3 linked regions of the Caenorhabditis elegans genome follow. The protein of the gene in region 3 interacts with the protein of the main gene of each other region in a pairwise test. Each region holds a gene or a part of one and is shown on either strand. Other genes may lie near its edges. The genes, in order: hlh-33, hlh-34 and aha-1.

Region 1 (9,384 bases), on a different chromosome or scaffold from region 3:
GCGGCAACAGATGCAACAGCCGATGCCGAGCCGGCGACGGTCTGCGGCTCACCAAGTTCGCCAGAGAATTCAGGCTCAGAATGTGAGAATTTTCTTTTAATTTTGAGGGATGAAGCTCGCCGAGAGAGCTTTCAGAAAAATTAAATTTTTTGTAAAAAATTCAAAAAAAAAATGTTTTTTCCAAATTTTTTCTGAAAATTTTATTTCCAGACTGTCCGGCTCCAACAACAGGAGCAATTGGCTCAGCAGCATCACCAGCACCAGCAGCAGCATGCTCAATCGGAGCTCCAACAAGTTCAGCAAGTGCTCATCGAGCAACAGCAGCTTAACCAGGTTCGGAACTTGAAAATTTTCAGATTTTTAGAGTTTTTAGCTGTAAAAGTCGGTGTTTAGCTCGCTGAGAGCTTTAAAATGAGCCCCATATCGACTAAGTTTGGAGAACATTCAGGATTTTGGGTCTCACCACGAAAATTCCTTGGATTACTGTAGCTAAATGAAATTTCCTGAAAGTTCCACTAAGAAATTCGAATTTCCCGTCATTTTTCACACCCGGATCCTGTTTTCTAGAGCTTTACCACAAATATTAAAGAAATTGTGCATTTTTTCGTAAGATCCTCCGTGTTTGCGTATTTTCGGGGCTACAGTACCCCGAAAATTGAAATTTTGAGCTAGCAGCACGGGAAACCAGGATTTCGGAGTGAAAAGTGACGGAGAATCCGAATTTGATAGTGAAAATTTCTGAAAATCAATAAAAATCCTGAAAAATTGAATTTCTTCAAAATATCAATGATTTTTCTCGTAATTTTTCGAAAATTTCATTGTCAAATTTGAATTTCCCGCCATTTTTCACCCCGGGAACCTATTTTCTAGAGTTTTACCTTAAAATTTAAAGTAACTGTGCATTTTGTCGTAAGAAATTTGGTGCTTGCGTATTTTCGGGCCTACAGTACCCCGAAAAATTTAAATTTTAGCTCAGAACCCCGGAAAAAAAGTATTCAGTGGTAACAAGTGACGGAGAATCCGAATTTAACAATGAAAATCTTCAAAAATCAATAAAAATCCCGGAAAAAATCAATTTCTTAAAAATATTGATTTTTCTGTGATTTTTTTGAAAATATTGCTGTCAAATTTGAATTTCCCGTCATTTTTTACCCCGGGATTCTATTTTCTAGGGCTTTAACTCGGAATGTAAAGAAACTGTGCATTTTGTCGTAAGAAATTCGGTGTTTGCGTATTTTTGGTGCTACCGTACCCCAAAGAATTCAAAATTTTAGCTAGAAACCCAGAAAACCACGATTTAGAGGTAAAAAGTTACGGAGAATCCGAATTTAGCAGTAAAAATCTCCAAAAATCAATAATTTCCCCGAAAATTTACAATTTTTTTCCAGAATTCCCGCAAACGCAAGCAATCTCCACAAGCTCACTGGAGCGACGTTGATAATGTGGAGAATCTGGAGAATCAGGCGACCGCCGCACAACAAATTCCGGCAAAAAAACCGCGCTGGAATTCGGTGGAGCAAGAGCCCGAGCCCGAGGCTCCGCTGGAAGCCGTCGAGCAGCAGCAACAGAAGCAGCCGACAACTGACGGGCAGCACCTGCCGGATATTGTCAAAAATATTGGAGGATTCGAGATTCGTGTCATTCGAAGTCACGACCCGTCGCGCAGAATCTACACTTATTGATTTTTCCCGCCGCCGAAAAATCGAAAAAATCGATAATTTATTAATTTCTCTTGAAAAATCTCCCAAAAATCAATAATTTTACGACATTTTTCATCGATTTTCCCCCTGCGATTGTAATATTTCCCAATTTTTTACATTGTATTAAAAAATGCCAAAAAAACAATATTTTATTGATTTTTTTTTTCAACGATTTTTCAAAGTTTTTCCCGAAAAAAAAAACGAATGTATTAATAATTGTACAAAAATGTTTCCATTCCCCCCCCCCCCCCTGAGCCATTTTTATCAACGTTTTACCCAATTTTTCCACAATTTTCCACTTTTTCCTGAAAATTATCGATTTTTGTGTCATTTTTGTGATCTCTCGCGATTTCTATACAATACATATCTCGACCCCACGACTTTTTTTGTAATAAATTATTATTAATTCGCAAAAATTTGAATTTCCTTGGGTCTCACCACGATTATGGAGAATTTTAAGTTGCAAATTCGAATTCTCCGTAACTTTTTACCTCTAAATCGTGGTTTTCTGGGTTTCTAGCTAAAATTTTGAGTTCTTTGGGGTACGGTAGCACCAAAAATACGCAAACACCGAATTTCTTACGACAAAATGCACAGTTTCTTTACATTCCGAGTTAAAGCCCTAGAAAATGGGACCCCGAGCTAAAAAATGACGGGAAATTCAAATTTGACAGCAATATTTTCAAAAAAATCACAGAAAAATCAATATTTTTAAGAAATTGATTTTTTCCGGGATTTTTATTGATTTTTGAAGATTTTCATTGTTAAATTCGGATTCTCCGTCACTTTTTACCACTGAATACTTTTTTTCCGGGGTTCTGAGCTAAAATTTAAATTTTTCGGGGTACTGTAGGCCCGAAAATACGCAAGCACCAAATTTCTTACGACAAAATGCACAGTTACTCTAAATTTTAAGGTAAAACTCTAGAAAATAGGTTCCCCGGGTGAAAAATGGCGGGAAATTCAAATTTGACAATGAAATTTTCGAAAAATTACGAGAAAAATCGATATTTCGAAGAAATTCAATTTTTTCGGGGGCCCGATTTTTGGAGCCTGAACATTGAAATTTGGAAAGTTGTGCATTACCCCGAGAAAATCAAATTTTGAGCTAGAAGATCGGGAAAAATGGTTTAAGAGGTAAAAAATGCAGGAAAATTCGAATTTCTTGGAAATTTTACTTGAAATTTGATAATTGTGGGCGAAATAGAACGTTTTGAAGCTTTTTGTGTAGTTTTTTTTCGGTTTTCATTCAAAACTGTAAATTTTCGATCAATAATATGAATTCTACGTCTCTTTTCACTCCGGAAACCCAATTTCCAAAGCTCAGCTACCAAATCCTGAGAAGCTGTGCATTTTGTCGTAGGAGCTGCGGCGGTGTTTGCGTACTTTTGGCGCTACCGTACTCAGAGAAAATCAAAAGTTGAGCTAGAGACTCGGCAAAAAATGTGAATAGTGGGAAATTATGCGAGGATTTCGTTTTTGAAGTTGGTTTTCCAAAAAAAAAATTGATTTTTCGGAAAAAAATTTTCCAAAAAAAAAATTTTTTTTTTACAAAATATTGTTTTCCCCGCCGGGGTAACCAGAAATGAAAGCCGTAGAGGGAGAAAAATGAAGAAAGTGACCTTGAAAGTCCCTTTCTGCCATACAAAAAACGCTCCCCTAACCAGCTGCCCCCACACACACAACTTATTCCGAGGCACACGAGAGAGTACACACAATCAAAGAGACGCAGAAATGCGGCAATTTCGAGTGTTGGGGGCGATGAAGACGGCGGAGACCATTCATTTTTGCCATCTGATCACTTTTCCGATTTTTTCTAAATTTTTTTTTTTGACAAAAGTTTTATACAACTCGGTAAATAATTTTTGTACGTAGGCTTACTTTGAGGTCTTATAACTTTGGACTCAAATGAACTGTCAAATTTTAAAGTAAATTGCCTGAAAGATAAAGTTTTAACGCAAATTTTGGTAAAATTTCACCAAAATTCATTTGGTAGTTTTTGAGAAATTTAGGTTTTAATTGAGAAAATAAAAATGTTGAAAATTTTTTTTTTTAATTTTTAAATTTTTTTTTTTTGCATTTTCCAAAAGTTTAAATCAAAAATTTGATATTTTCTGAAAGAAAAATAAAAATATATTTAACGCTAATTCTGACAAAATGTCAAGCAATTTGCACAATTATTCTTTGAGATACTACAGTTTTACCGAAGAAATTTCATTTTTCAGTAAATTTTTCAAAAATTTAAAATTTAAATGGGTTTTCTGAAACTTTAGGGCAATAACACATTTTTTACAATAAAATTTTTTTAAAAAAACAATGAAAAGTACATATTTGTCAAGTTAGAAAATTTGAATTTTCACCAAAATTTTTTTTTAAACTTTTTTGAAATTTTTTTTTAATCCTTGAAAAAAATTTAAAAAGTTCAAAAAAATGTCTTTTCATCAGAAAATTTAATTTTTATTACAATTTGGTTATGTATATACTTTTATTAATATAAATTTATTGATATCCTCAACAGATATATGCTTTCAAAGGTTGAACTGGACATGGTGCATCGATCAAAAACTTGGACAGCTTATATCTCAGTTGTCATTGTTTTTATCAAAAAATCGATAACTAATAAAATGTTCATTATGAACTTCTCTATAACTTTGTAGTTGAGCACTTTTCCATATCTCCAAAATTAACAGAGATACTAGCCGTCAAAGTTAGAGTTAGACATGTTGCATCGACCTTTCCTAACTTTGACAGCCCATAACTCGGTTAATATTGAGCCAAAGGTTGTAAACTGACAAAATGTTCATCATGTTTTTCTCTATAACTTTGTTGTTTAACATTTCTCCCTACCTTTAATATTAACCGAGATATAAGCTTTTAAAATTTAATAGTACATTTTTCAGAATGTCCGACTCCCCGCAGAGCTGCAAAAAGCCGCGAACTCGGAAAGAAACTATTCAAAAGCGAGAAACACGAAGTAAGCATGAAAAACGACGAAGGGAAGAGATGAATGAAGTGATTTGTGAAATGTCGACACTTTTGCCCGAAGATATTCGGGCTCATAAGCTGCGAAGAGTGGATCAGAAGCCTCGTCAGCTGGACAAATGCTTTATCATTGGGAGTACTGTTGATATTATTCGGAATAGTGATTATAGTGAGTCTACAGATTCAAATTAGTAATAATATTCTAATTTGGAATTTTTTTTTAATTTTGAAAAAATTTGGAAAAAAATTTGAAAAAAAATTTCGAAAATTTTTTCTTTTTTTTTTGCAAATTTTTTTCCTAAATTTTCGATTTTCAAAGCTTTTTTCTTTGTTTTTTACTCTAAAACTCGGTAAAACAACTCTATTTCCTCCCGAGAAAAATATAAATTCAACCTATTACAGTAACCCTGATCCGTTTCGTGGCGGGACCCAAAATTTCAAATTACCTTCAAACCAAGGCATGTTGGGTGTCATTTTAAAGCAATCATTGAGCTAAACTCAAATTTGAAAGCCATTAAGCTGAAAATCTCGAAATTTTCGGAATTTTCAGTCAATTTCAATTTCCTCCATTTTCCAGAACCACCGCTGCTCTCCGACCCGCTCGTCCAGGATATTTTCAGCCTGACCAACTGTTTTATGGTTTTTCTGAACAATTTTATTGTCGTGGATATTAAGGGAGACCATCAGGCAGTTTTTGATATTGAAAAAGTTTGTTTTATTGATTTTTTTTCGATTTAAAAAAAAATTCAAAAAGCCATTAAATGGGCAGAGTTACAGGCCTCTGAAAATAATTGTTAGGCTTAGGTGTAGGCTTAGGCGTAGGCTTAGGCTTAGGCTTCAAACATTTTTTTGGGATTAGGCTTAGGCTCAGGCTTAGGCTTAGGCTTAGGCTTAAGCGTAGGCTTAGGCTTAGGTTTAGGATTAGGCCTAGGCTTAGGCTTGGGCTTAGGCATAGGCTTATTAGAAAAAATGGGAAAAAAAATTCTCAAAACATTTTTTTTGGAATTTAATTTTGTAAAATTTTCCAAATTTTGTCCCAGACGGGCGTGACAATCAAATGCACACTTTTTTAGTTGACAACTTTTTGCTAACCCTTAAATGGTAGCAACCTTTAAGCTTCAGTAACTCCGCCCATTTATTGGCTATCAAAAAATTTTCAACCGACAAAAGCTTCACCATGAAAAAAAATCTGCAAATTTTTTCAGTTGACAATTTTTTTCTAGCTTTTCTAGATTTGAAGATATTTGAGTTTATTTTTTTGAAAAAAAAAAATCCCAAAATTTTTTTTGTGGGATTTCATCTTTTTATAATTTTTAATTTTCCAAATTTTTTCCCATACAGGCGTCCCCAATTAAATGTTCCTTGTAAACAAAATGTCGTCATATTTTCGGGGAAATATTATCAAGGTCACTTTTTCCCAAAAAAAATTCGATTTTTTCGGACTGTGTGTCAGCTGACTTGTTTCAAGGTGAACTGGTGGTGGACCGGGGGTGGGGGGGGGGGGATTTGGTGAATCATTGGGATTTTTTCGGTTGGAAAATGTTTTATAACATTTTAGATAGTATAAAAATTTAGAAAGTTTTCGAAAAAAGTTTCAAAAAAAATTTTTTTTTTTGGACTTTTTCTGAAAAATTTTTTTTTTTTTGTTAAACTAAATTTTTTTAAAGTTAGAAATTCTAGAAATAAGTTGTAAACTAACAATTTTTGTCAAAATTTTTGCAAAAGATTTGAATTTTTCGCTAGTTGATAACTTTTTAGTAACCATTAAATGGGCGTAGCTGCTGCCTTCCGTAACTCCGCCCATTTCATGGTTATCAAAAAGTTTTCAACTAACAAAATGTTCATTTTGAAATTCTACACACTTTTTTAGTTAACAACTTTTTAATAGCTGTTTTAGTTTTTGAGATATTTAAAAAAGAAAAAAAAATTTTTTAATGAAATTTTTTTTTTCAGAAACGTATGATTGGAAAAGATATCCGATGTTTTCTGGACTACGATTCAACGTCCAAACTGTCATTTCTCACTTCCAAAGAAATGCTCAATGAGCTCCAACTCAAAAGCTTCATGGCGAAGTCAATGACGTGCAGAATAAAGGAATCGGCGGAGGTTTGGGATTAAAATGTTTTTTTCAATTCGAACAATTCGAAAAATTTAGCTTTAAAACTAATTTATTTGAATTTGGCGTGTAAATAGCTTTTGAATGACACCCATCATGCCTAGGTTCCCGCAATTTTGGGGGAATTTTCCGGGTCCCGCCACGAAAACTGGCAGGGTTACTGTAGTTTTGAATGAAACTAACTTTTTCAATTTTTTTCAAAAAAGTGTGATCACTGAGCTAACTTTGAAGAAAAAAATTAAGAAAAAATAGTGAAAACTAAGAAAGTTACAGATTTTCGAAAATTTGTGAAAAAAAATTTTTTTAAACAAAATTTTTTACCAAAAAAAACTTATTTTGTCAATTTTTTTTTAGCTGAGAATCACAATTTTACTCTCAGCAACCCAGAAAACCTGCAAAACCTGGTAAAACCAGTAAAAACAACCAAACTACAGTAACCCAGAAAGTTTTCGCGGCGGGACCCGAAATTTTAATCATTCACGGAATATAGGCATGATGGGCCTTATTTTGAAGCTCTGGACGTGCTTAATTTGAAAATGTACGAGTTTTGGCTCAAAATCGTGATTTTAACCAAAAAAATTAGTTGTTAAAAAATTGAAAAAATTTTTTTTTCCAAAATTTCAAAAATTCCTAGAAATTTTTAAAAATCAAAATTTTTCCAGAAACCCACGGAAACAGTTTTAGTCTGTGTGCCTGATGAGCTTCCAGCTCTCCCGGTTACTGTACCCAAGGCTCCGCCCATTTTAGCTTCGCCCCTTCAGAAGACACCGCCCCCGCCGTCGAGTTTGGAGGTGAAAAGCCCGATTTTGGCGGCACTTTTGAGGCGAAAAGAGGATAATTGTGTGAAAGTGGTAAGTTATTAATAAGAATTAATAGTTTGGCGGGAAATTTCAAACTTTTTGAGAAAAAAAAAATTGAAATTTTTTTTTTCGGAACTTTTTTTTCTAAAAAATTATTTAACACTATTTGTTGAATTCCAGAGCTCCCCAAGCTCCTTCCTCTCGCCGGGCTCCTCCACCTCGTCTACAGTACCCAATGTGAAACCTACAGTAACCCGCCGACCTACAGTACCCACAAAACGGAAGAGACTACGATCGATGAATGTTATAGTGGAAAGTTATCCGTTGGATGATGAGAAGTCGGATGGAAATTCACAAAAATCGGCGAAAATTGGGAAAAAGAGGTTTTTTCTAACAAAAAAAAACGTTAAAACCTACAGTAATCTACTCCAAAATCCATGCGAGACCCTTAAAACTGAAAATTTCAAATTTAGCTCAACAAGACCTTTCAAATGACCCCCATCATGCCCGGGTTCAAATTTTCACAAATTTATTCAAAAGTTGGGTCCCGTCACGTGGGGTACTGTAGCACTGGTTTCAGCTGTGTCAGTGACATAATTTCGGAGTTTTTCCGAAGCTCTAAGCGTGCGAAAGTTAAAAATGTTAATAAAATTCTTAACATGTAAGATTTTATTGATTTTTTCAAAAAAAAAAAATTTTCTAATTTTTCTGAAAAAACTTGCAAAACTATGTAAATTTTCAGCCAAACTAGCACTATTCCAACTCCGAGAAGCACTTTGAGCCCAACTACAGTAATCCATCCGTCCACGTCACTAATTCAACCGATTCCGACACTTGGAATGAACCCATTTGACATGTTATCACCTGGTTATCAAGATGTATGTGAAAATTATCGATTTTTAATGGTAAAATCAATAAATCATCGCTAAAAACTAGTTTTTATCAATAGAGCGCACTTGCAACACGGTTTTAATTCAAATTATCGACTTTTCAACTACAGCTACTATCAATTTTCCAGATTTGGCTCCGACTACAAAGTGAGCGACTTCTGCTGGAAAAACGAATTTCAGCGAAAGAAGGGGAGCTGAAAAACCTGATGCAATTCGTTCAAAACCCCCCGTTTTTGAATTTCCCCCAATATATGCTCCCGCAAGGGCCACTTGGTGCTCAAAATCAATAGTTATGGGTTTAAATGAATAAAATAAATATTTATTTACAAAATTTGATTATTATCGACGGGAATTTGTTTAAAATACTGCAAAATATACTGGGAAATTTCCGGAAAAATCATTTCGAAGTTAATTATCATTTGAAAAACCGCCGAAAACTGTGAATGCGCAAGGAGAGGTTGCTGGCGCATTTCTCTTGTTGCTTGCGCACTCTGCGATGAAATTAATTTATTTTATTTTTTCATCATTTTCGTTGGGTTTTCATCATTTTTCAGCGATTTTTTTGCAATTTTTTTCAAAATTCCCATCAAATCTATAGTTTTTCTCACAGGAAATGGACTCGGCCGACCCTCAACTCAATCGATTCCTCCAGCAACTGCAGGCGGAGACGCAGCGTCAAAAATTCACCGAACAAGTGCACACGCTCACCGGTCGCTGCTGGGATGTGTGCTTCGCCGACTACCGTCCGCCAAGCAAGATGGACGGCAAGACTCAGACCTGTATTCAGGTAAAAATTTGGGAAAATTTGGCAATTTTCTGCAATTTTATGGGAAAATTGAAGAAAAAATTTAAAAAATCCAATTTTTTTCCGTTTCAGAACTGCGTAAACCGCATGA
Region 2 (6,497 bases), on a different chromosome or scaffold from region 3:
TGGAGCGCCAACGCGTGAGCATCCTTCAGAAGAATCACCGAATTGATGAAGAACAACTGCATGACGACCAACTGGAAGAGTATATACTTCTCCGTGAATTCGAAGAGCTGTACTTGTCAGTTGGGAAAATGTGAAACGGCCAATATGTGCTCCCTCTCTCGTAATTAAAATTGCGACTGCTATCTGGAAAATTGAAAAATTTACAGTTTTGTAATGAGAAATAAGTTATAAAATTTTGAAATATACTCACAAAACAGTCCTTATTATTCTACAATCATTTTGTAGAATTACCAAAAATAATTACTCTACCCGGAAAAAGTTTCTATTCAATCTTTTATTGGAGCAGTTCAAAAACTCACTGTATCATCTACAAACGCATCATGTGGAGTTATTTCTCGAATTGTTGCAAATCTCATAGGTTCATCCATACTCGCAGCAACAGGAGATATCCTCATCCGGCTTGTTGTCGATGATCCAAGTGAAGATGAGCAACTTTCTCTTGGAACACACGGAGCAGTAACATCATTTCGAGCTCTCACAAAGCCAGGGGCACAATGACAACCGGCACTGCATGTACCCGAGCATACTGGAACTGATGGTTGTCCACAATACTCTGGGCATAAAGTTCCACAAGAAGACCAGACTGCATGTTTATCCGGGCATACACATCGCTGAGGATTCACTCCCAGGGAGACGATCATTGGTCGACAGCATCTTTGTTCCATTGGACAATCCATATCAGTATTACATCCACGACCGCCGACATCAAAAGTTGTAGCAGGGCATTCGGATTGTGATACAGTTGGCTTGAGTGCAAGAAGATCAGAATCGGATGAAAATGGACGACCACGTGTTTCATGTACTTCAGCTATTACGGTGGTGGCTGGAGGGACTGATGCTTCTGAAAAATCATTAAGTTTCACTTTGATTTGCAGTACTAACATCAAAGTTTTTTATAAACTGGCTCTGTGAGTTTACCTGTAGTAGTGGTTGTTGTAGATTCTTCTGTAGTTGTTTCTTCCTCGGGAGGACATTCTTCTATTTTAATGCATTTAGAAGTGTGCCACGTGGCAGAGTTTTCAAATACCAAGCCATTCTTACAGAAACAACCAGTCTGGCATGGAGCACAATTTTTTGGATGACGATTATCACATCCCATTGGGCATGAACTACCACATGTCATGAATTCCTTTGTCGGATCCTCACATCCTCTGTCACATTCTGCAGGAAGAACACATCTTGATGTTGGATCATTTGGATGAAGGAGCACGTATGGCTGACGACAAACACATCCTGAAAAACATTGTCCGGAGCCACATCGACCCAGAGGGTTCGCACATGATCTTGAGCAATGCAGAGCTCCGCATTGACTCCATTCTTTTCTTGGATCCGGGCAAGATTGGGATGCTGGAACGCTTGCAGTTGATGGTGGAATTGATTTTCTAGAACATAATTGAGGGAGAATGCATGTGGAGTTTGGATCCTTCGAATCGGCAAGAACATACGGAAGTCGACAGAAACATCCAGGTTCACAAGAAAGAGCACAGTCAATTGACGCTGCTTGTGAAAGAGGTCGATCACAAGATGCAGGGCACTTGCTTCCACAGCTTTGATAGTTTTTCAATGGATGTTCACAGTGTTGCTCGGGAATAAGAGTGGGAAGTTTTTGTTGTGAAGTTGTTAATCCACGAGTGGTAGTAGTGAATACGGGAGATGGTGTAGCTCTTGGGGAGGTTGGATATTGAATATTCGTATTTCCAAAACTTCCAATCATTCCAGGATTACGCTGCACAAATTGCTCAACTATTTCTGGCGCTGGTGTTGGGATTTCGGGGCACGAAGATGGAAGAATGCATCTGAAAATAGACCAATTTTAAAGTTTCTGTTACGGTTTAATCGAGTTTTGTCCATTCGGTTCAAAATCTTGTTAAAGTTTTCCCAATGTGAATATTTTTCTTGTAAAAGTAATATAAAAATGGAGAATTTTTTTTAAATCAGCAGCCACTTCCGAGTTTAAGCTTAACCTACCTTGAATGAAGAGGATCGTCTGCATTTTCAAGGATAAACGGAATTTTACAGAAGCATCCAGTCACACATCTCTCATTACATCTCGGTTGATTTCTTGTAGCACAACTAATTGGGCATGCACTTCCACATGTCTGATATTGCCTTTTCTCGTCTGCACAACGAATCGTCAGATCATAAGCTTGACACAAGCCTCGCGGAACACATGCTGAACGGGGAGAGCTGTCACGTCGGATGTATCCTAGCAATGATGAAGAGTTAATATATAGTTAACTATCGAAAGTTACCTGGTAGGCAAATGCATCCAGGTTGGCATCCGGGAGCCGGGCAAGCTGGTGTTGAAGGATCTTGACATGATGGTTGACAAGAGGAGAAACATGCTGAATATTGCTCATTCGCGCCACATACCATGGCAATCGTTGGGTTTACTGAAAAAATGTAAAATGTTATAAGAAGCTAGTTTAGGCAGACAACAGACTTTCATTAGAAATAGGTTCGTTCATTATTTTTGTTAATGCTGGTAAGCAAGCGTGATAGTTAGAGTTAGTTATGGAACCGGGGCAACATTTAGATCCCCGTTCACATTCAGAATCACAGAAGCAACGGGTTAGTGTGGTTATAGAAGTGTTCAACGGGAGGGGGCATTCTCCAGGTGATGTACTCTTGCATGTCTGTAAATATGTCTTGAATTTTTGAAATTAGAGAACTGATTGATACCTCTTCCCTTTCTTTTTGTTCTCTTAATAATGCAGCAGCTTTCAATGCAAGATTTTCTTGTTTTCTTCTCACAGTTTCACATCCCTTTTCGTCTTTGCTTTCTTTTCCGGATAATCTTCTTCCATACCTTGTCACGCACCAACAAACTTCTGTTCCAGCCAAGCATTGTCTGAAATTGGGTTTATTGTAGTCTGATAGTGAGATGTCTGTGATGCTACAAATATTTTTGAGAATATTGGGTATCTTCAGCTAAATTTGAAACTTTGTAACTAATACTGTTCTCACTATGTTCCTATTCAATATCTGAATTCCCTTTTACCTTCTTCTCCATGCCAATCCACTTTCCTCACATAGTGGTATCGCTTGTCCAACAATTTCCAACGATCTAAGCTCATCGAGAAGCTCTCGTCTCCTCATTGCACATGCTACAAAAATTTGAAATAGACAAAGAGGGGAGAATTCAATTGTATGTCATATTGTGTAATTAGTTTGGCTCTCGAATGGCATGATCTGCATGCTAATTATATATTATGAGAGCTTGTACATATTGGGTCATTCATTTATTTTTTATATGTATTTTATTTGTCGCTTGACTTATAACCACTTGAGAAATGGAGACTAATCTTTCTGAAGAAAAACGTAAGCAATTTTAGAAAATATGTTTTGAAAGAAACAAATCAATATTTTAGAAAAACCGTCAAAATCACAAGCCCAGCAGAGAAGACAAATGGAAAATTATGAATTCTCACAGCTAGCCAATGAACTTCCATTGGCAAGAGCAATTTCTGGACAGCATATTGATAAAACAACGATGGTTAGATTAGCAACTGCTTATATCAAACTTCACAATATATTTGGGCAATCTCAAAGAGCCTACAGTTCAGCTGACTATTATTATGGAAGTGACTCTTTATGGACTAACAATCATTTAGATGTAAGGATGGTTTTTTACCGTTTTTTTTTTAATTTCAATTTCAGCTACTAGATGGATTCTTTGTGATACTGGACAGGCGCGGAGATGTACTTTACATAAGTGAAACTATTAGTATTTACTTGGGCTTGTCACAAGTTGAAATGACTGGCAACGCGATGGTTGATTATATTCATGAACAGGATATCAATTGCTTTAACTCGGTAACTTTTAAGTTTTTGATTTAACATAATTAAATTCAGGAAAAATATTTTATTATAGTTACAAGTTTTGAACTTTCACAAAAACATCCTGAAATCAAGTATGGAAAGAAGTTTAAGCTTACAGCTGTAGCCTAATTAAGTTGCAATAATTTTTAAAACATTTTTTAAAAATATATATTATTTTTAATATATATTTTTAATTTTTTTTCTGTTTTTTAAAAGCAACTCCTAACTGGAATCATTTTGGAGTCATTTTCGCACAATCTCAGAGAATTTTTTGACTAAATGTAGTAATTTCTCTTTACAGGCCCTTAACTATTGTGACCTTAATTGGCCTCAAATGTGCAACGTACGTGTTAAATCTAGTCTCACAAAGCGAGCAAACAAGGATGCAGTTCGTGCTTCACCTGGATACAAGGTTCTTCGTCTAGAAATTACAATGGGTCCAAATACAAATACTAGAATGATTGCATGTTATCCAATGCCTACTCCAGTTCTTTCTACAGTAACCATTCCTTCTAATTCATTTGTTATCATTACATCCATCGATCTTCATATAACATTTGCTGATGAAAAAGCTCATCAGTTGCTTAATAACCCATTTTACCCAGATTCAAATATCAAAGGAATGTCATTATATTCACTGATTGATATCTCAGATTCTGAAGTTATATCAAAAATGCATTTCGATATTTTCAACCTGGGCGCTTATAAAACCCCGTACTATCGAATGATCTTGAATCAAACAAGTGAAACTTTTTACGTCGAGTCAAATATTTTTCGTCATACTTCGATTTCCTCTAAACAGTTTAATGACTCGATCACATTTGTTTCCTCAATTCTATGACCTCCAACTTTATTTTATTTCTTTTTTTATTACGCTAATTTCAAAGAAGATAAACACTTTGGTTTCAAATTTAAAAAATAAACGCACTTTTACAACATTTTCCCTCGATGCAAAGTTCTTCTTGATGAGTACAATCCTCATCTCTTGAGCACCTTTTTGACCATCTAGATTCATCTGGACATGGCTCATCAGCTGGGGGATCCGATGTGATATTTAATGGTCTTTTTGGTTTAGGACTAGTTGCTGAGAAATAGTGCAGTGTGTTAGATTATGTTAGTAAAAGTATTGATAGTTAATTGTAGGCAAAAAATAAAACAAGATAGAAACTCACGTTCTCGTTGAAGAGAAAATGTTGGCAAAACGTTGGGACAGCAAAATCCATTATCACAGATTTCGCCAATAAAACAGTCATCCTGCATACGGCATCGATAGTATGAATATCTACTGTCTGCACAATGTCGACATGATCCTTCGGCTTCACATAATCCTAAAAAAAATAAGCAGTTAAAACTATCGATTATGTGGTAGGCAGGCACATCTGCAGGTATCATACCTGCGTAACTTTCGTAGTTTTTTGTGAAGTTCGGTTTTTTTTTTTTGATTTTCTTATTTTAGCATTAGTGTGGGTCTTTTTTCTCAGTTTTCGAAACTTTAAACCACAACTGAAATTTTTTGAAAGACATTTTCAAGAGGTCTCATTATGAAATTCAGTTTTGGTATAGTTTTGAGTCTATTAGAAAAATACAACAATTTCTGTAGCCCAGTAAATTTTACGAAACACTCCTGGTGCAGGCATACGTTGCCTTGGAGTCAAAATACACTTACTCAACTGTCCATGAACTTCCTTCCAACTTGACGAAAATATAACAATTAATAGGAGAATACGAAGCATTCCCTAGTATTTTAAAACTTTTTTAGGCTCCTGCTCAAGAGGTCTCACTTTCTTTATTGGCTGACCTACAAATGAAAGTGTGTCATACCCCTTGAAAAAGAAGGAGAACGATAGAAAGAGCAATTATGAAATGAAAAGGTAAAGAGTGAGGGGGGACCCTCCTGTTCTGATTGTCGCCCGTATATCCTATTAAGGCAGATGAGAGGCGGTTATTTTGGCGGAGAACGCAGGTCAGCAGCTATAAATCAAGGGGTTGTTCACGGGAATCGACTCGACAAATTAGTGTTCAAAGCATTTGGGGCCAGGTGTAGAGGTTTGAGTGCCTTTTGACAGACGGTTGGCCGTAGTGGTCCGCGAAATTAATCCAAACGAGAAGAATGATGATGTTGATGAAATAGATGACAGGAAATTGAACTGAATTAGCCATTAAAGTCGATATTTAGGTTGAACTTTTATGGAATTGGATGTAGCTTGGTCAAAAAACACCTTAATACAATTAAAAATTTTACAATTAGTTAGAACTATAGTTTTGAGCAATCTGCTATAAGTTTTACAAGAAAGTGCCCTTTTTGATCGATTTTAGTACATTTTGGCAAAATCCCTACTATCTCTACTTTACCCTCAAATACATATTATCAGAATTGATCAAGTTCTACAAGAAAAAAGAGTTGATCTAACTATTCTGAATCCAACACAAAAAATTAACTAGCATGCTGAAAAACTGCAAAAATGACCACAAAAAATGTAAATCAGCAAAAAACAACTTATTTTCAAGACCAACCACCATGATGGACAAATTGGAAACATTTTCATTGTCAATCACATGTCTCTTCTGCCCATTTTCTCCATTTTCTCTACAATTTCCCGCCCATAACAGTCCCG
Region 3 (8,332 bases):
GTGCAAGTTCAGTCAACAGGCTAGCAATCCCACTCTACTACTTCAAAAGCAAGCATCTGAAATTTAAAACTCACCAGTCAATGTGACACGTGTCTGAAGATGAAAAGGGATGAATTCGTCCTTCGTAAATTCGAAACTGAATTTATCGACGAGTTTGTGATTGTTTTTTTATTTTCTTATCTAACGTAGAATCTTCAGGGTTTTTATATTTTTTATATTTTATTTTTTATTATTTCAGAATCGACCAATCAACAAGTTTGCAGAGGCCAACAAAAAAAGTGGGACACGCCAAACACTGATGCTCGTTAAAATTTTGATTCAATAGTTTCAATTCTGAACAATTCATTTCTACTTGTTAAAAACTCAATTTGAATACGAGCTCACAATTTGCTTGCAAAAGGGCTTGAGAAGAATCGAAATAAAAAAAAATGCCAAACATCTATAGAACTACTGATGAAATTGTCGCTCAACGATTGGAGGATGGAAAAGATGTATTTGACGGGAATTTGACAGCTTCTTGTCTACAGTTTGCGTGACAACTCCTTGCCCAAGTTGGATATTAAAATATGCATTTGGCTTGGAAATTGGCAAAGCTTGAGCAAAAGTTTGGCAAGACTTGATGGCCCAAGTTTGATCCGATCCTTGAGAATCACTGCCAAAACGACATAAGTCAAGTTTCACGCTAGGAACAGATTGGGCCAAGTCTTGCCCAATTACTCGTTTGCCAACTTCTGAACAATTTGGACAAGTTAATGCGCAAATGCCGAGATCTTGTGATCAAATGATCATATTAGGAACATTGAATTTTTGAAAATCAAAAACTGTCTAGTAGTCGGTAGGTAACTGTGTCATGTGCGCATAATGCCTCAGTACAATTAACCTATTGATGGAAACATTACAAAAAAAGTGTGAAAGAGCTTCAAGTTTCTTGCAACTTCATCGGAACATTTGAATTTTTCAGATGCATCTCAATCTTCATCATATGAATCTGTTTGCTACTGGAGCATTTTCCAATGTCTACCGTGGAGTTGCTCAAACAGAATCCAATCAGGAAATCGATATTGTGATCAAAAAGACCTGGCCGCGTCACAAAGGATGTCCAATGGAAGTGAAGATTCTTGGACAGTTGGGAAAGTTGAAGCATCGGAATATTGTTCGTTTGTTGTACAGCTATCAGAAACAACATGAAGGTGTGAGCACGCTTAGTTGATAGAATAATAAGCAAATTACAAATATTCAGGTCGTATTTGTCTTGCTCTGATTTTCGAGTACATTCCATTGAATCTTTATCAGTTTCTAAAAGACAAAAACCGCCGGATTGACATTGTAGAAGTGAAGCTTATTGTCTGGCAATTGTTTCGAGGACAAGCACATTTGGAGAAGGTGCAGTTATTTTTTTGAATATGTCTCCCATTCAATCTGGAATTTTAAGGCTGACATTTGTCACAGAGACATCAAGCCTCAAAATCTACTCTACAACGCCGAAACAGGTCTGCTGAAAATATCTGATTTTGGCTCATCGTCCATCCAATCTACAAAATCACCACAGCAAAGTTATCATGTCACGAGATACTACAGACCACCAGAATTGATTTTAGGCTCCAAGTACTATGGATGCAAAATTGGTAAGAAAATTCTGAAAAAATATTCAAATTATCTGATAATTTTGTTAGATGCTTGTTGGTGAATTCTTACTAAGCCCAAGTTTACTATTAGTTACCTTGAGCAAGTCTTGGAGTTTTTTGCTAGAATATAATTTTTCAGACACGTGGTCTTGCGGATGTGTATTTGGAGAGCTACTGAAAGGCGGAATCATCTTGGCTGGAAAATCATCGAACAATCAAGCGGAGGTCATTTTCGATATGCTCGGATACCCAACAGATTCTGATGTGTCATCAATGAAAGTGAGCAGCACGAAGTTGCAGGAAGTTTTGGATTCATATGAATATAATAAATCGAAGACAACTGCCGACTTGACTTATCTCTACACACAGACAGTCATTTATCAGAAGGATCGGAGAACTACAGTCTATAATACGGTAATTATTATACGAAGAACGAGTTCATTGAAAATTCAGACAATTTTCATCAGCGACCGGTTTTAAGTGCTACATTCGGAACCATCTTAACATTTGAAACCGATTTGATGTACCACTAGTCTGTTATTGATTGCGCGGCACAAGCTAGGTACAAGATAGGCACAGAGTAGGCACCAAACGATAAGGCGCATGTGGAATCAAATCGGTTTCAGGCAAAAAGCTTTAAGAAAACCTCCAGAGAGTTGTTTTTCAGAAAATTGAGCAAGATGACATGAAAGAGTCAGTAGCAGTTCTTCTTCAAATCCTTGTCTACAATCCGAACAAGCGTCTCTCTGGAATTGAGATTCTCACTCATCCGTACTTTAATGTGGTAAGTTTATCTGAACCTTATGATTGTCACCTAACATAATGATTTTAGTTATTCAACGAGAAAACGGTGAGATTCAATAAAAAGAAGATTTTGTGTCTTTCTGCAGTCGACTTACAATCCGTGAAATCTGGAGATACAACTTTGACGAATGAATCGGTTGAGCAGACGAGTTGAATTCGAGAAAAGAGCACTGATATTTAGATTATCAATTTTGTAATATATGAACAGTTCTGAATGGGGTCTCCAAATTGAAATATATGTCACTATATCTGTCTTTTTAGAAGCATAACTAATTTGAATATGGAGTTTCGTCCTATGGCTCCTCTGGCGAAGAGCGCCTTGGACTGCTTGGCATTGTACACCAACTTTTTGCCAGAATTTGGCAGCGACAATATTTTTTTCAACAGTTTAAAACAATACAAGAAAGGTTTGGGTCAAAGTTTGACATGAATAAAATCAAACTTATGCCAAACTCTAGTGCATTCTAAATCTACAAAAGGCCGAGTGGAAAAGTCGATCTGAAACAAACATTCTGAAAGCTTGAATTATGTGTGTTTTTTTAGAAAGAAAACTTTAACTTGATAAAAAACTACACTTTTGGAACAATTTCACAAAACTCGAAAGTTGGAAACATCCAAGGAACAGTTTTCAGGTCGATATTTTTTAGTTCAAAGTGCGAGGCATGTAGCAGAATGTTTTATAGGGGCCTATGCAAAAGGTTTTCTTTCAAATAAAAAATGATTTTAATTGAGAGTGTGAAAGTTAAAAAAATTTGATCAATCAATTGTGGTCATTCAACTTTCAAATACTGGTCACACTATAAATGCGTGCATTATTTCACTTATTTTCTTGCATTATCACTATCACATTTTTATATGCCCTATCATCCATCCATCATCTTCTAATTTTTTTCCGTTTCCTCCTTCATCATCCTTAAAAAGTCTCTCCCCTCTAATTCCATCTGTTGCTTCTTCTCTCAAATATCCAGTGACCATATGTAGGGGGGTCACTCTCAATTTCTTTTCATTTCTTTCTCTCTTCATAGTAATAATACGGTCCTCAACGGTGTTTGGTGACGAGGTACTGGACAAATAGAAAAAGCGCGCACGCCCCTCTCTCTCACACCATTCCTTTCCCATCCCCCATCATCCTAAAGAAATATTGATTGGTGAGAGTATATGAAAAATGGAGACTCAGACATACGTATCGCGTGTTTAAAGACATTGTGTCTACAATGGAGAGTATTCTCTGACGCATCTTACTCTAGATTTTCCATACTTTCTCTCTCATCGGGCAAGGAAGCGACGATTTACATAATTAATTGATTTACTCTCGATCCATTGCACAACTTGTTTTAAAATTCAATTTTTTAAATTCTTCACCTAATATATTCAATTGCCTATAATTTGTTTTGGTGTCTTTCAATTCTTCTTTTCGACAGAAAAAAACTTTTCTTTATAGTTTTCAGAATGGCTCAGGATATATTTATGGATCCATGGCAATCGGCGACGAGGTAAGGCATAGTGTGACATTATTAGCTTAAGTTATGGCTTTTTATTGCAAAAAATGTGTTGATTAAAATTGGTTTTCTATGCAATACAACTATTCAGATATGCTTATTGCTGGTTATTTTTGGATACTTCTAAACTTATATTTTAAATTTTAAATAATTTCAGCTTCGCAATGGAAGATGAAGATATGGGCATGCCATCTGGAAAATATGCTCGAATGGAAGATGAAATGGGAGAGAATAAGGAAAGATTTGCAAGGGAAAATCATTCAGAGGTGAGGTTTTGAACATTTATATCTGAAAATTTATACTGCTATGTTTCATTAATTCAAATAAAAAGTACGATACTCTGGGTATTGTTTGACCTGTAAAACTGCAATTTTCATGGGACGTAACACAACTCAAAATTAAATTTCCAGCGATTTTAAATTTTTTAAAAATTTCTACATATGGTGCTAAAATTATCGAGTCATAGAGAACTTTTTAAAAAATTATTTCAAACTGTATAATTAAAATTCAAATAGGCACAATTTTAGAGTTTCACATATCATGAATTCGGAAGCCGACCGAAAAATCTTTCTTTCTGCAAGTATTAAACTAAAAACTAAAAGTTTAAAAATTTGGCAATTTACCAACCCTTTGGTTGAAATTTCTGAAATCAAAATTCAATATGGAAAAAGTAAAATTTCTTGCTTCAAATTCAACTGAAAACGTTTTAGATTGAGCGACGTCGCCGTAACAAAATGACTCATTACATAAATGAATTAGCCGAAATGGTTCCACAATGTGCATCACTTGGACGTAAACCCGATAAACTAACGATTCTCCGAATGGCAGTATCACACATGAAAGGAATTCGAGGACATACGGCACAAGATGAAACTTCATATAAACCATCATTTCTTACGGATCAAGAATTGAAACATTTGATTCTAGAAGCAGCGAATGGATTTCTTTTTGTTGTTTGTTGTCAGACTGGAAAAGTGTTATATGTTGCTGATTCAATTACTCCCGTACTTAATTTGAAGCAGGTGAGCAAGATTTGAATCTTTCATTATTGAAATATAAATATTAATTTTTAGGAAGATTGGCTTCAAAGAAATTTGAATGAACTCATACATCCAGATGATCAAGATAAAATTAGAGATCAATTGTGTGGAAGTGAAGTATCAGTTAATAAAGTTCTCGATTTGAAATCTGGTGAGTTATCATAAAAAGAGAAGAGGAGAGATTCAAGGATTTTTTGAATTTTTTCCAAAGTAGTCATATAACTTGGAACCGTTTACAGTAATAACCACTTACTTCAGTCAATCGAATTAAGTAGTATTTGTTTTAAAAGCATCTATTGTAATTTCACTAGATTTTGGCATGCCCAAAATTTGTGATTTTCCGTCAAAAAGGTATCTGCTCGCTCTTAAAATGTGTGTATCTTTAAAAGTACAGTAACCCACTTCAAGTTAACTATCAAAATCATTGAATTTTAGGATCAGTGAAACGCGAAGGAGCATCAACACGAGTTCATATGTCATGTCGTCGTGGATTCATCTGTCGAATGCGTGTCGGAGCCCTTGAACCACTTCATCGTCTCAGAAATCGCCGTCCCTTATTCCAACATGCTGGTCAAAATTACGTTGTGATGCATTGCACAGGATATATCAAAAATGCTCCACCACAGGGAATTAATGCTCCAGCTTCATCTTGTTTGGTGGCAATTGCCAGGTTACAGGTTAGAATAGTTTACGATGCAGATAAACGTGATTTAATTAAAGGTAGCATCAATGCCGGTCTGTGCTGATCCAACATCAACAAATCAATTTTCGGTTCGTGTTTCGGAAGATGGAAAAATGACATTTATTGATGCGAGGGTTAGTGATTTAATTGGTTTGAGCAGTGATCAACTTATCGGAAGATATTGGTGGAATCTTGCACATCCAGCAGATGAGAAGACCCTTCAAGACTCATTTGTGGCTCTTTTAAGGTAAGTTTTCGTAAAAAAACCTTTTTGAACAATTTGCGTCCATCAAATTTCATATTACCTGCTTTCAAGAGTGTGTGCGGTTTTAAAGAGTACTGCAATTTCAAACTTTCTACTCTGTAGAATTTTCGTCGATTTTTCATAGTTTTTCTCACTATTTGTAAAAATACATGTTGTCTTATGTGAGTTTTTAAACAAATAAATATACCTTTATCAAAAAAACTATGAAAAACCAAAGAGAATTGAGTAGAAACATTAAAATTACCGTACTTTTTAAAGGCTCAAACCTTTTTCATTAAACAAACATTTGTCTTGTCGAGACCAGGTACCGTAGTTTTTTAATCGTAATTTTCGCGGTTCTAGGGAATATTTTCAGGCGAATTTTTCACGAATAATATTCGTGGCGGGACCATTTCGAAAAATGTACTTTCCTTTAAACCTATAGCAGTAGATTCCATGTTAACTAAATAAAAACATTTCCATTTCAGTGACCAACCAATGAGAATAAATATTCGAGTACGTACCAGTACTGATTACATTCCATGTACTGTGTCTGCATACAAATTCATGAATCCATACTCGGAACAGTTCGAATACGTGGTTGCAACACATCAAATTGCTCCACAAGAAGATATTAATAATTGGGTCACTGCACCAACTGTTCCTCAACCTCAAGCCAGTGAATTTGGAGAGCTCGGCGGTGCTCCAAGTGCTGTGGATTACGGACAATCGAGTAGTGGAGGATGGAGACCTGAAGCTCAAGGAGCACCACAGGCACAATGGCAATGGGACCCGATGAATGGATATAACCAGTGATTATAATTTCTAGAAATTGATATATTTTTTTTTGAAGCCTATTCCAATGATTCTCATTTCTATCTACTTCTTGAAAAGTTTTCTTTTTTTTTCAATTTCCTTAACTTTTCTGTTCAGTATTTTTCCTTTTTTCTGGACCAACGAGTTATTCAACTCATTCTGAACACTAAATTTTATTACTAATAATATTGTCAAAAAATCAAAAGAAAACAACGAATAAATGAAAACAACTATAAAATAACGGATTATTGCTTATTTTGGTGGATTTTGAAGAATATATTCCGTCGCCGACGTTGCCGTTGACTTGTGCTTTGAGAACTGTTTCGCTGGAAGTTGTTCCGTGTTCATTTCTGTTGGAAGCCATGTTATCGGTGTCCATTGACCTTGAATAGAAGGAACCAATGCACTTTGACGACTCTCTAGCTTCACAACTGGTTCGCCGCTTCTTGAGAATAACAAATGCACATCTTTGCTCACTTCGTCTTGTGTCATGTTTTTTGCATTGATCTGTAGAGTCCGACCATTTCCATATTCTGCGCGGATTGATGGGTTCGAGTTTCGCACAGGCTGGGCATAGATCACAACTGATGGGTTTTTACGGCCTGAAAAAAACGGATTTCCTTCTTTATTTAAAAAAAAATGAAGCTTTTAATTTAGATTCTCTATTAATTTTTTGATCGTAGACAGAAATTCTTACCGATTTCAACGAGTTGATTCTCAATAAAATTGCGAACTCCGACACTGGATTCACTTTGTTTGCAAAACCTGACAGTGATGCGATGAAGTTGGTTGGTGTAACGCGAGATTCCATTATAAGCCGGAATTTTCAGAAAATCAGAAAATCGCCATCCAAAGTTCAGAGCTTTTGCGGCTGTGTAAATGGGTTTGAGGCGATCAACACGTGGAACCGATGGCATCTAAAAATGAGAGTTTGATAAAATAAACTTTAAGTATAATATTGAAATAGAATATAAGAAATCGTACTGTTAAATTGGCAAAATGAAGAAAGGCAACGGCGCTCTAATGAAAAGAATACGAGCGTCTTGTTCAAAAGCGACGACAGCTGATGCGAAAACAGGTTTCGCGAGGTTATTTACACAAACAAATTTCATTAAAATAGAAAAAACGTGACTAATCATCACATATCAAGAGATTTTGTTGAAAATATCGAGCCAAAAAATTAATAAATTCCATTTGAAGCTCCGAGAATTCTAGGCCACGGCCGTGTCGTACACGAGGACAAAATTTTTTTCCTGTGATTTCTTCTTGTTATTGCACTTTGCCCCCTATTTAGCCACACTCTAGCCAACATTTTTTTGTTTTCAGATGGCAATTGCAACGACAAAAACTGCATTAACAACAATGTAAGTATTTATTAATATTTGATGCTTGCTGTTCAAATAAAACTACGGTTTTCAGAATGAATTGGATGACATTCACGGATGACTCGAAGGAACAACTAAAAATTGTCGAGGGACGTCTGTTTCAGTCTTGCGAAGTATCATACGAAGCCAAATATGTCCCGGTGAGTGAGAAATATTTGTTTCTCTGGTCTGGAGTGTCTTTTTCAGGTCAGATTCAAAAGAGGCGAAGTGTACACGGTGACAGTGAGGCCCAGAGAA

What was found.
Region 1: the proteins of aha-1 (region 3) and hlh-33 interact in a two-hybrid assay, tested with the Caenorhabditis elegans proteins (2 studies listed by BioGRID).
Region 2: the proteins of aha-1 (region 3) and hlh-34 interact in a two-hybrid assay, tested with the Caenorhabditis elegans proteins (one study listed by BioGRID).

What each region holds. Positions count from the first base shown.
Region 1 is NC_003281.10:1,850,792-1,860,175, forward strand, and holds hlh-33 (BHLH domain-containing protein), read left to right. Parts: upstream 1-4,600; 5' UTR 4,601-4,601; coding exon 4,602-4,851; intron 4,852-5,259; coding exon 5,260-5,390; intron 5,391-6,635; coding exon 6,636-6,788; intron 6,789-7,460; coding exon 7,461-7,649; intron 7,650-7,778; coding exon 7,779-7,981; intron 7,982-8,340; coding exon 8,341-8,476; intron 8,477-8,616; coding exon 8,617-8,778; 3' UTR 8,779-8,812; downstream 8,813-9,384. Other genes in the region: pqn-82 (Prion-like-(Q/N-rich)-domain-bearing protein), read left to right, coding at 1-82, 211-333, 1,389-1,682; ddp-1 (Mitochondrial import inner membrane translocase subunit Tim8), read left to right, coding at 9,102-9,275, 9,366-9,384.
Region 2 is NC_003283.11:13,704,212-13,710,708, reverse strand, and holds hlh-34 (Helix-loop-helix 34), read left to right. Parts: upstream 1-3,313; 5' UTR 3,314-3,353; coding exon 3,354-3,381; intron 3,382-3,431; coding exon 3,432-3,676; intron 3,677-3,720; coding exon 3,721-3,876; intron 3,877-4,183; coding exon 4,184-4,723; 3' UTR 4,724-4,742; downstream 4,743-6,497. Other genes in the region: T01D3.3 (Thyroglobulin type-1 domain-containing protein), read right to left, coding at 1-183, 360-901, 979-1,856, 2,029-2,266, 2,313-2,453, 2,504-2,696, 2,743-2,911, 3,062-3,167 and 3 more. UniProt on the Caenorhabditis elegans protein: Transcription factor. Involved in specifying AVH neuron identity, acting in concert with unc-42. Involved in serotonin-mediated feeding behavior, probably acting by modulating expression of genes involved in glutamate signaling.
Region 3 is NC_003279.8:10,192,537-10,200,868, reverse strand, and holds aha-1 (Aryl hydrocarbon receptor nuclear translocator homolog), read left to right. Parts: upstream 1-3,871; 5' UTR 3,872-3,878; coding exon 3,879-3,922; intron 3,923-4,085; coding exon 4,086-4,194; intron 4,195-4,638; coding exon 4,639-4,950; intron 4,951-5,001; coding exon 5,002-5,119; intron 5,120-5,403; coding exon 5,404-5,645; intron 5,646-5,688; coding exon 5,689-5,897; intron 5,898-6,382; coding exon 6,383-6,710; 3' UTR 6,711-6,944; downstream 6,945-8,332. Other genes in the region: Y106G6E.1 (Protein kinase domain-containing protein), read left to right, coding at 429-491, 962-1,190, 1,241-1,383, 1,433-1,625, 1,765-2,039, 2,293-2,409, 2,458-2,583; C25A1.15 (Transposase), read right to left, coding at 3,273-3,548; mrpl-34 (Large ribosomal subunit protein mL43), read right to left, coding at 6,963-7,312, 7,408-7,627; lid-1 (AB hydrolase-1 domain-containing protein), read left to right, coding at 8,037-8,074, 8,130-8,235, 8,282-8,332. UniProt on the Caenorhabditis elegans protein: Transcription factor. Efficient DNA binding requires dimerization with another bHLH protein, such as cky-1 or ahr-1. Regulates transcription of target genes, probably acting in complex with cky-1. Has a role in cellular differentiation.